Neurospora crassa OR74A: one gene and its partner. The protein of the gene in region 2 binds, or shares a complex with, the protein of the main gene of each other region. Links are inferred from orthologs where the notes say so. Each region holds a gene or a part of one and is shown on either strand. Other genes may lie near its edges.

Region 1 (3,191 bases), on a different chromosome or scaffold from region 2:
CGCATGACGACCGTACAGTTCGAAAGTTCTTTTGTGAGGGACTCGCCCGTCCTCTAGTCATCAAGTAAGAGGAAGGTTTATTGTCCATGTAATCCCACAAATCACAATATAACCACGCAGAAAGATTTGTTGTATTATTGCACACAGCCAGATTCCAACATCTTGACTTTTGTATAAATCCGTTTTTTAGTGCCAATATCTTCGCTTCAGTCTCTTTTCGTTACCTCACATCACGTACCAGATCTCTCCCCGTAGGTATCACGCTTCACGACTACCAGAGGTACAACAACAACAACAACAACAACAACGGCTACCTCCGTTGTCCCCTCAAAGGCTTTTTGTGAAAATTGTCATATCCGTAGATGTCGACAAAAAGCACCTTCAACTTTCCTCCCTACCTCTAGCCAAAGCTGGCAGAAACTAAGTAGGACTCGTCTCGACACCATCCATCCTAGGTATTCAATACCATCCATCCGTTTCCCCCTCTCCCCCCCCTTCTTCTTCTTCTTCTTCTTCTTCTTCTTCTTCTTCTTCTTCTTCTTTCCATATTCATCCACAACGGAAAACCGGTATTCCTCACCACCTCATTCTGCAACCCAACCAGCACACCTTCACTCGCAATATCCTTTACGGTATGTATGTATGTGTGTATGGTACGCATGCATGTATGCGCAACCTGCCTCATCGTCGTCAACCCAATTTATTTCCCGAACTGAACCTATTTATACACATTTGTCTTTTTTTTTTTTTTCCCCTCAACCCTTCTTCCTTCCTTCCTTCCTTCCTTCCTTCCTTCCTTCCTTCCTTCCTTCCCCTTTCTCCTTTCCTTCTTGTAGTACAGTGTATAGTGTAGTTTTTTTTTATTTTACCGCCTCTGCATCTCAGCAGTCATGGCAGCGTTGAGCTCGCCAAAGCGCTCGCCCAGGCGCGTCTGGGTGGACATGGACTTGAGCACGCAGCGGCTGATGCAGCCCGACTCGCGGCCGGAAAGGGCCTTGGAGGTGAAATCGTCGACGCAGGCGGTGAAGCAGTTGTCTACGAGGTTACCGAAGACCTGTTTGTTTGTTCGTTTGTTTGTTAGAAGAAAGAAGAGAGAGAGGGAAGGGAGGGGGAATGTTGGTAAGAGGTTTGGTGGGTTGGTTTTGGGATAGATAGATGGGAGAGCTAGCAGAGGCGTGGAGAGGGGTGGTGTTGGAGGGGGAGAATGGATGGATGGGGAAATTGAGGTATGCCAGTTCGGAAATAGGTGGAAAGGAAGGAGGAGGAGGAGGAGGGGTGGGAAACAGGTTGCGAGTAAGTGCGAGTAGATGGGATAGTTGGGGGATGGATGGTGGAAGACCGGGGGATAAAAGATTGGTGATGACGGTAGCTATGTTTGGATCTAAGATGTAGCGACGACTCGAAGATGGAAGAATATTGGTGGCGCAAATGTGTAACGAAGAAAGAAAGTGTGTATATACGACGTACACTCATAAACTCCTTGACCTGGCGCTTCTGAAGGCGCTGGTCGAGCTCGCGGCTCTCGGCGGCTGTAAGTCTGTTTTGATGGAAAGTTTGACGATGACGTTAGTTTTGGGTGTCCAGTCTTGTTCTCCTTGTCGTAAAAAAAAACAAAAAAAAACACAAGGTGACTGTTGTTTCCCTTGCTCTCTTGCTTACCCATCCATTGTTGTCGATTTGGTGTTGTGGTTCGGTGATGATTCCGAACTCTTGAGGAAATTCGAGTTGTAGTATGGATGTAAGGTCCTGGTCGGTTGGCAGAGGTGGAATCGATAACGGATGGATGGATGGATGGATAGATGTCGATGTCGTACCTACCTAGGGCCCGCTGCGCGCGACGGGCAGAAACGAGTCGGATGGATTGAAGCTGCAGTTCTAAAAATTCACCGCCCGGCAGAGAGCTCGATGCTTGGCGCTTGGCAGCAAGGCTTGGCAAGACCGGGGGATACAGTAGCAAAGAAGGTCTGTGCGCTACTAACGTTCGCTCTTAACATTGTACACTACCACTGCACTGCACAACTGCAGGCAGCTCAACCAACAGTCTTCACTGCAACCATAGCCGACGCCAACGGTGAGGAATGACATCACTCCTTACGATCCAACACAGGGCAACAACCTCTCGGAGACGGCGCCAACTGGAGGGATCACTACTAAAAACAGACATTTACTATGTATAGGTAGATAGAAGAGCCTCACTGGTACTGCTATCTGAGGTTTTGCCTTTGTCTTGCTCCCCATTAGGTTTCCGGCAATTCGTCCCTGTATCACCCACCATTCAGCAGGGCGGGGAAGTGAAGGGAAGGACTGACTGTGTGCAAAGTATGGTATTGTACAACGACGGCATGTCCGCTGGCTCGTAGGGACCGATGTCCAATGGGCTGTTTTATCTCTCCGTGTCTTGTGTCACTACCGAAAGGCTTCGTTACTTTGGCCATGGCTTTGTGGTGAGAAGAAAAAAAAAAAAAAAAAAAAAAGGTGCTGGGATGTGAGCCATTTCTCCCATTGACGGTTATTTGCGGTTAGTGAGATGTGGTGCGGACGTCTTCTTTCTTCATTACTGCAGTAGTGTTCATCGCCTTTTAAGTGCTTATAAGCACTGGTGTGTTCCCGGAAATCCAAAAACACCAACAGCAGTACATATCGTGGGCTTACATGCAGCCTCAGCCAGAGTCAGCCTATGACGTCCACCCGGGAAGGATCTCGTGTTCAGGGAGGAATATGTCTTGCCCGCATATGAAAGATGAAACAAGACCCGCAGTTGATGGGTACAACATGCTTTTCTACTTTCAAGCCGTTGTGGCAATTTGAGGTGGCCTTGTATGTGTCCCGCCCCCCCCCCCCCCCCCCCCCCCCAAATCGTTATGGTTTTGATACATCCACCATCCCAAACGCACAACTTGGCTTGGAGGCTCTAGGTGGAGCTGCCTTGTCGCGGCAAAAGCTCGGTCCGTCGGCTATGGTAAGGGGTGAATCGCAATCTGATATGTTTCTAGGCGGCTCAGGTAAATTTCATCAAGCGGTGAGAATATGTACAATGAGCCGAGCCTGAACTCGCCCATATCTACGCTACGAAGCTCAAAGTTGGGGTCTGAGGATACCTACAAAAGGTTGCTGAAGCTGTGGGAATTCTTCGCACGGTGAACGCGACTGCGGAACCTGGCGGCGAAGCGAAGCCATTTTATCATCTCTTG
Region 2 (4,215 bases):
ACCAGTTCCGCGCTTTGGACGACGACGAGATTGAGTTTCTTGAGGGGGTGGCGGAGAGGAAGAGGAGGGAGGAGGAAGAGAGACGAAGAGAGGAGGAAGGGGGGTTGCAGAAGTTTAGGGAGTTGCAGCAGCGGCAAAGAGGTGGTGGTGGTGGTGATGGTGGTGGTGAGGAGCAAGAGGGAGGGGATGGAGAGGATGGGGGGGATGATGATGGGTTGGGCGAGGAGGAGTTGATGTTTTTGAGTGGAGCGGGAGGTGCAGGGAGGAAGAGGAGGAGGATGGGAGAGGGGAAAAGGTTGGTGCCCGGGGTGGTGAAGAGGGCTAGGAGTGGAGGAGAGGAAGGGAAAAAGAAGAAGGAGGAGGAGAAGAACACGGTGGTTTCTGAGCCAGGCAAGGTTACGGCTACAGTTACGACCACAGTTACGGCGCCCGCGAAAAAGCCCCTTGGTGGACTTGTGTCATATGCATCGTCGGATGAGGATGATGACTGAGCATTGTAAAGGGGAATGAAGAATGGAAGACGGGGCCCCAGACAAGGTAGGAGTTGACTTGGTTGAACTACTTGATTCACGAGTTTACTGGAAGAGGCGTCTCATTATATGATGTGTGGAAGAGGGCTGCAGAGATCAGAGATATCGCCAATCTCATCTGATTAGCAACCGCTAACACCTAGCCTTTTAATATACCCAACAACTAGTCCACATCCAGCTTTTCTTGGCCATTGCTTATTCATACACTGTGATCGTAACATGCGCCTCCTTTATATCTTTTGTTTGTACATGAGGATAAGATGCCAGTTGGACACAAGTTTCCTGTATCAACAGTACCACCTCGCTTATTCAACATCCTTATCCTCCAAAGGGACAAGCTTCTTCTTGTTGAAGGCCTTGTCATAGCCCCAATGACAGGCCTTCCTCAATGAACCCTTGATCCAGCCCTCGACCTCCTCCTCGGGCACTTTAATCTTGCTCACCCGATCCTCGTCCTCGGGCGTCAAGGCAAACCTCCTCATGCGGTGCGCAAGTCTTGGGTCCATAACCACGGGCTTGATATGGATCTTTTCCGTCACTTCCTTATCGGCATCGGCCTCATCCTCTTTCCATACCTTCTTGGGCCAGTCCTGCTCCTCCCACTCGAGCTCCTTCGCCTGCTCATACTGCACCGAATCGGTAGAAGGCGCGTCTGGGTTGGTTTGTTGCTGGAACTCGCGGTGGGTTGCCAGGCACACAGCGGCGACTTCGCGGCCGATGTCGTCGGCGAGTGAGCGGCGGTTGAAGAATCGGACCATGCGTGTAGGGGTGTTGAGGAAGCCGAGAATGTGAGGCTCACGGATAGGGACCGCAGGGGTGAGTTCCTGTGGCGTCAGGGGATGAAGGGTCTCGGACGAGTAATCGGAGGTCGTGTTGTATGGCTTGGGTTGGGGTGGGCGCTTGGGCTTCGGGGCTTCCTCCTCCTTCTTCTCCTCCGCGGGCTTGTCTTCTGTAGATGTGCTACCCTCGGCCGCAGCGGGTGCGGGTGTGGGAGGGAGTGGCGCAGGCTCAGCGGGCGCGACCAGCGGCCCTAACCAACCCTCGTGCAGGCCCCGGAGGTACTCCTTCCATGTGTGACGGCCAATGACAACATCGCCGCGAACACCTTCGTAGTCCTTGATGCCGCGCTGCTGGCGGTAGATCTCTATCAACTCGTCCTTGGTAGGCTCGCGGTTGGGGTCCTGCTCCTCTTTGTTCTCCCAGCCACGGCGCACCTTGCGCAATCTTTCTGCGACTACGGCGCGCACGTCGCCTTCCCGGCGGCCCTGCACAAACTCCCAGTCCAAGCCACTGGCGGCCAGAACAGGCTTGACGTATTCTGTGTAGTGATCCTGAGCGACGCGCAGGCCGTCGCCGGGCGGGGCGGAGAGGTAGATGGTCAGCTTGCGCGGCTGTTCAAGACCGAGTTTATCGGTGATGGGTTCGGCAGCCAGGTGCTCGACGGCGTGTCTCCATTTCGCAATGTTTCGCCTCTTCTCGCGGCGGTCGTAAATAATTGCAGCTGTGATGGAGGCCGAGACGGTCCAGAAGATCATCCAATTTCGGGAGGGGAGCTTGTTGGGCAGGTTAGGGAGACCGAGCATGCGAAGTGCCTGGTTCTGCGGCCTCAGGGCTTTCGGAGGAGGAGGAGGAGGAGGAGGAGGAGGCTAGGTGTGATGTGAGCCATAATATTCAGAAATACGATGAAGTGCGAAGGAGCCAAAGTGTAACATACTGTAGCCGTAGTTGCAGCCGGAGCGGCAGGCGGCGCAGTGGACGCCGGGGGTACTGGGTCGGCCATGGTATAAAGTGTTGCGCCGGCTGATGCTATTACTCTGATGTATGTCGTGTGGTGATGGAGTTTGCGCAATTACGGGCGCATGCAGCTTACTGTGACGGCGCGAGGGGTATCGTAGGGAGAGATCGGGGGGTGGTTCTCGCGGGGGGCGTCACAGTTGGAAGACAACTTGAAGAGGACGACGGGATTCCGTAACGATTGTACGGACTACGGACAGCGACTCCGTAGGAGCTCCGTTGAGGACCTTGGGGCCGGTGCAGCGGAGCACCCGACTGCCAAAATTCCCGGACACACTTTCTTATCGCGATAAGCCGATAAGCCATTCCCGCGGCGGCACCCACCTGCATCTTTCATCGCGTTTAGTGGTTGTGCACGGGCCATATGCGAAGGTCAACCGCACGTCATGCCAGTGACACTTGAATTAACTTTTAGTGTATAAATGCAGACCACGCAGACTTGGAACGGCCCAAGATTTTATCTTGAGAGTTCCAAGATAGTCTCATGTCTGGACTTTACTCTCATAAGTTGGGGAATTTAGTCAGCCCTATTGAAGCAGGTTCCATCTTTCTGAGCCAGAACTATAGGTTCTAAAAGCGTCTGCAAAGGGTACCTGAGCTTGTATAAGTCGGGCTACCTGTTCCGTGTTCTTACTTTCCCTGGATTCTCTGCTGAAGCATCGTAGAGGATGTCTCTACAGTAGACAATTGTATACTCGGTCGTGGCGACTTGGGCTTCATGTGCTGTCAGCGATCATGATGACCTCTTGCGTGATCAATGGGCACAACTGTTCCGAGACGCTGCAACCCCTGAAAGAACAGGAGCACCCAGGGAAGATGCGGTGTCGATGGCGCTAAGCGTGTTCACCCCACCTTCAGCTCCACCAGGATGCCCCTTCGATCAATTGCAGACCCGGGAGTGCCCGCTCCCAGCCAGTAACAAATTCCCGGACCAGAGTCTCGATGCTCTCGAGGTCCAATGCCGTTGCGTCGAGCTTCAACACTCGGGGGACTGGTGGTTTACCTATAGTGTGCTTGTGAGGCACGAGAAGATGGCAGCAGTGCGGAACAGACAGCAACGAGTTGACGTCTGACGATGAGGTTGGAGTCAGGGGTTTTCAGGTTGACCAGGGCACCCCATAGTTAGGTGGTCCTGTTTCGGCCTGGAGCTCACCACTGGACCTGGGCATGTCATCCCAAACATGGAACCCCTCTTTCTACGACCTCCTTATTCCTGGGCATCGTGTACTAGATTCACATCGAGGCCAGCTTCCTGTGGCAACAGAAAACGGAAACGTAAAGATGCTCCTAGTTGTCTGTTGTTATTCAAGGTGTCCTTTGAATGCGCCCGTGGCTGTCTCATATCATCACAGTCTATGTCTTGGTCACTTATAGATGGGATCTGTTAGGTTCCATGTCACCTCTATACGTCTAGGTCTTTATTTATACTGATACCGCAGGGACCCTGCCCCACCTGCTTCCCTTCCGTTTGTCTGATTCGTCCGTACCTAGGTTCTCCGAATTACAGCGCCCTGAATCGCCTCCAGCCAGTGCTCTCCTGTCAGACTCCTTCCTGTAGGTAGGCTGGAGAGGCTCACGTCGGTCACGCTTCCACTTTGCTTCCACTTCCACACTGCGCCTATCGACTGCACGTTCCAGCGGGACACTTCCACTTCGGACGGTGCCACTCAACCACCTGCCCCCCCAGCCTGGCCGCCCTCGATTCCCATCCCTACCATCTACAGTAGCCAACCGTCGTTCGATCCTCGTTGGACCCTGGTCCCAAGAAAAAGCAACCTCCTTTCCTCCCGTCTCCCCATACCTATCCCGTCTTGTACACAAACCCCTTTCTGTGCGCATAGATCCCATCGATCGGTCTGGGAGCTCGACTCTGATCGTTTCTCCATCTGCC

What was found.
Region 1: the proteins of tim54 (region 2) and tim9 are in contact, whole or in part, in a cryo-EM structure (PDB 6LO8), measured with the Saccharomyces cerevisiae proteins. The link is inferred for Neurospora crassa OR74A from reciprocal best matches to the Saccharomyces cerevisiae genes TIM54 and TIM9. Residues at the interface, in NP_012481.3 of Saccharomyces cerevisiae: Glu76, Met78, Glu79, Val80, Lys82; in NP_010894.1 of Saccharomyces cerevisiae: Lys65, Glu68, Arg69, Gln72, Arg73.

Annotation. Positions count from the first base shown.
Region 1 is NC_026503.1:2,973,959-2,977,149, reverse strand, and holds tim9 (mitochondrial import inner membrane translocase subunit tim-9), read right to left. Parts: upstream 1,840-3,191; 5' UTR 1,668-1,839; coding exon 1,660-1,667; intron 1,538-1,659; coding exon 1,468-1,537; intron 1,055-1,467; coding exon 866-1,054; 3' UTR 686-865; downstream 1-685. UniProt on the Saccharomyces cerevisiae protein: Mitochondrial intermembrane chaperone that participates in the import and insertion of multi-pass transmembrane proteins into the mitochondrial inner membrane.
Region 2 is NC_026504.1:4,486,776-4,490,990, reverse strand, and holds tim54 (mitochondrial import inner membrane translocase subunit tim-54), read right to left. Parts: upstream 2,576-4,215; 5' UTR 2,311-2,575; coding exon 2,245-2,310; intron 2,177-2,244; coding exon 836-2,176; 3' UTR 541-835; downstream 1-540. Other genes in the region: NCU07294 (hypothetical protein), read left to right, coding at 1-491. UniProt on the Saccharomyces cerevisiae protein: Essential component of the TIM22 complex, a complex that mediates the import and insertion of multi-pass transmembrane proteins into the mitochondrial inner membrane.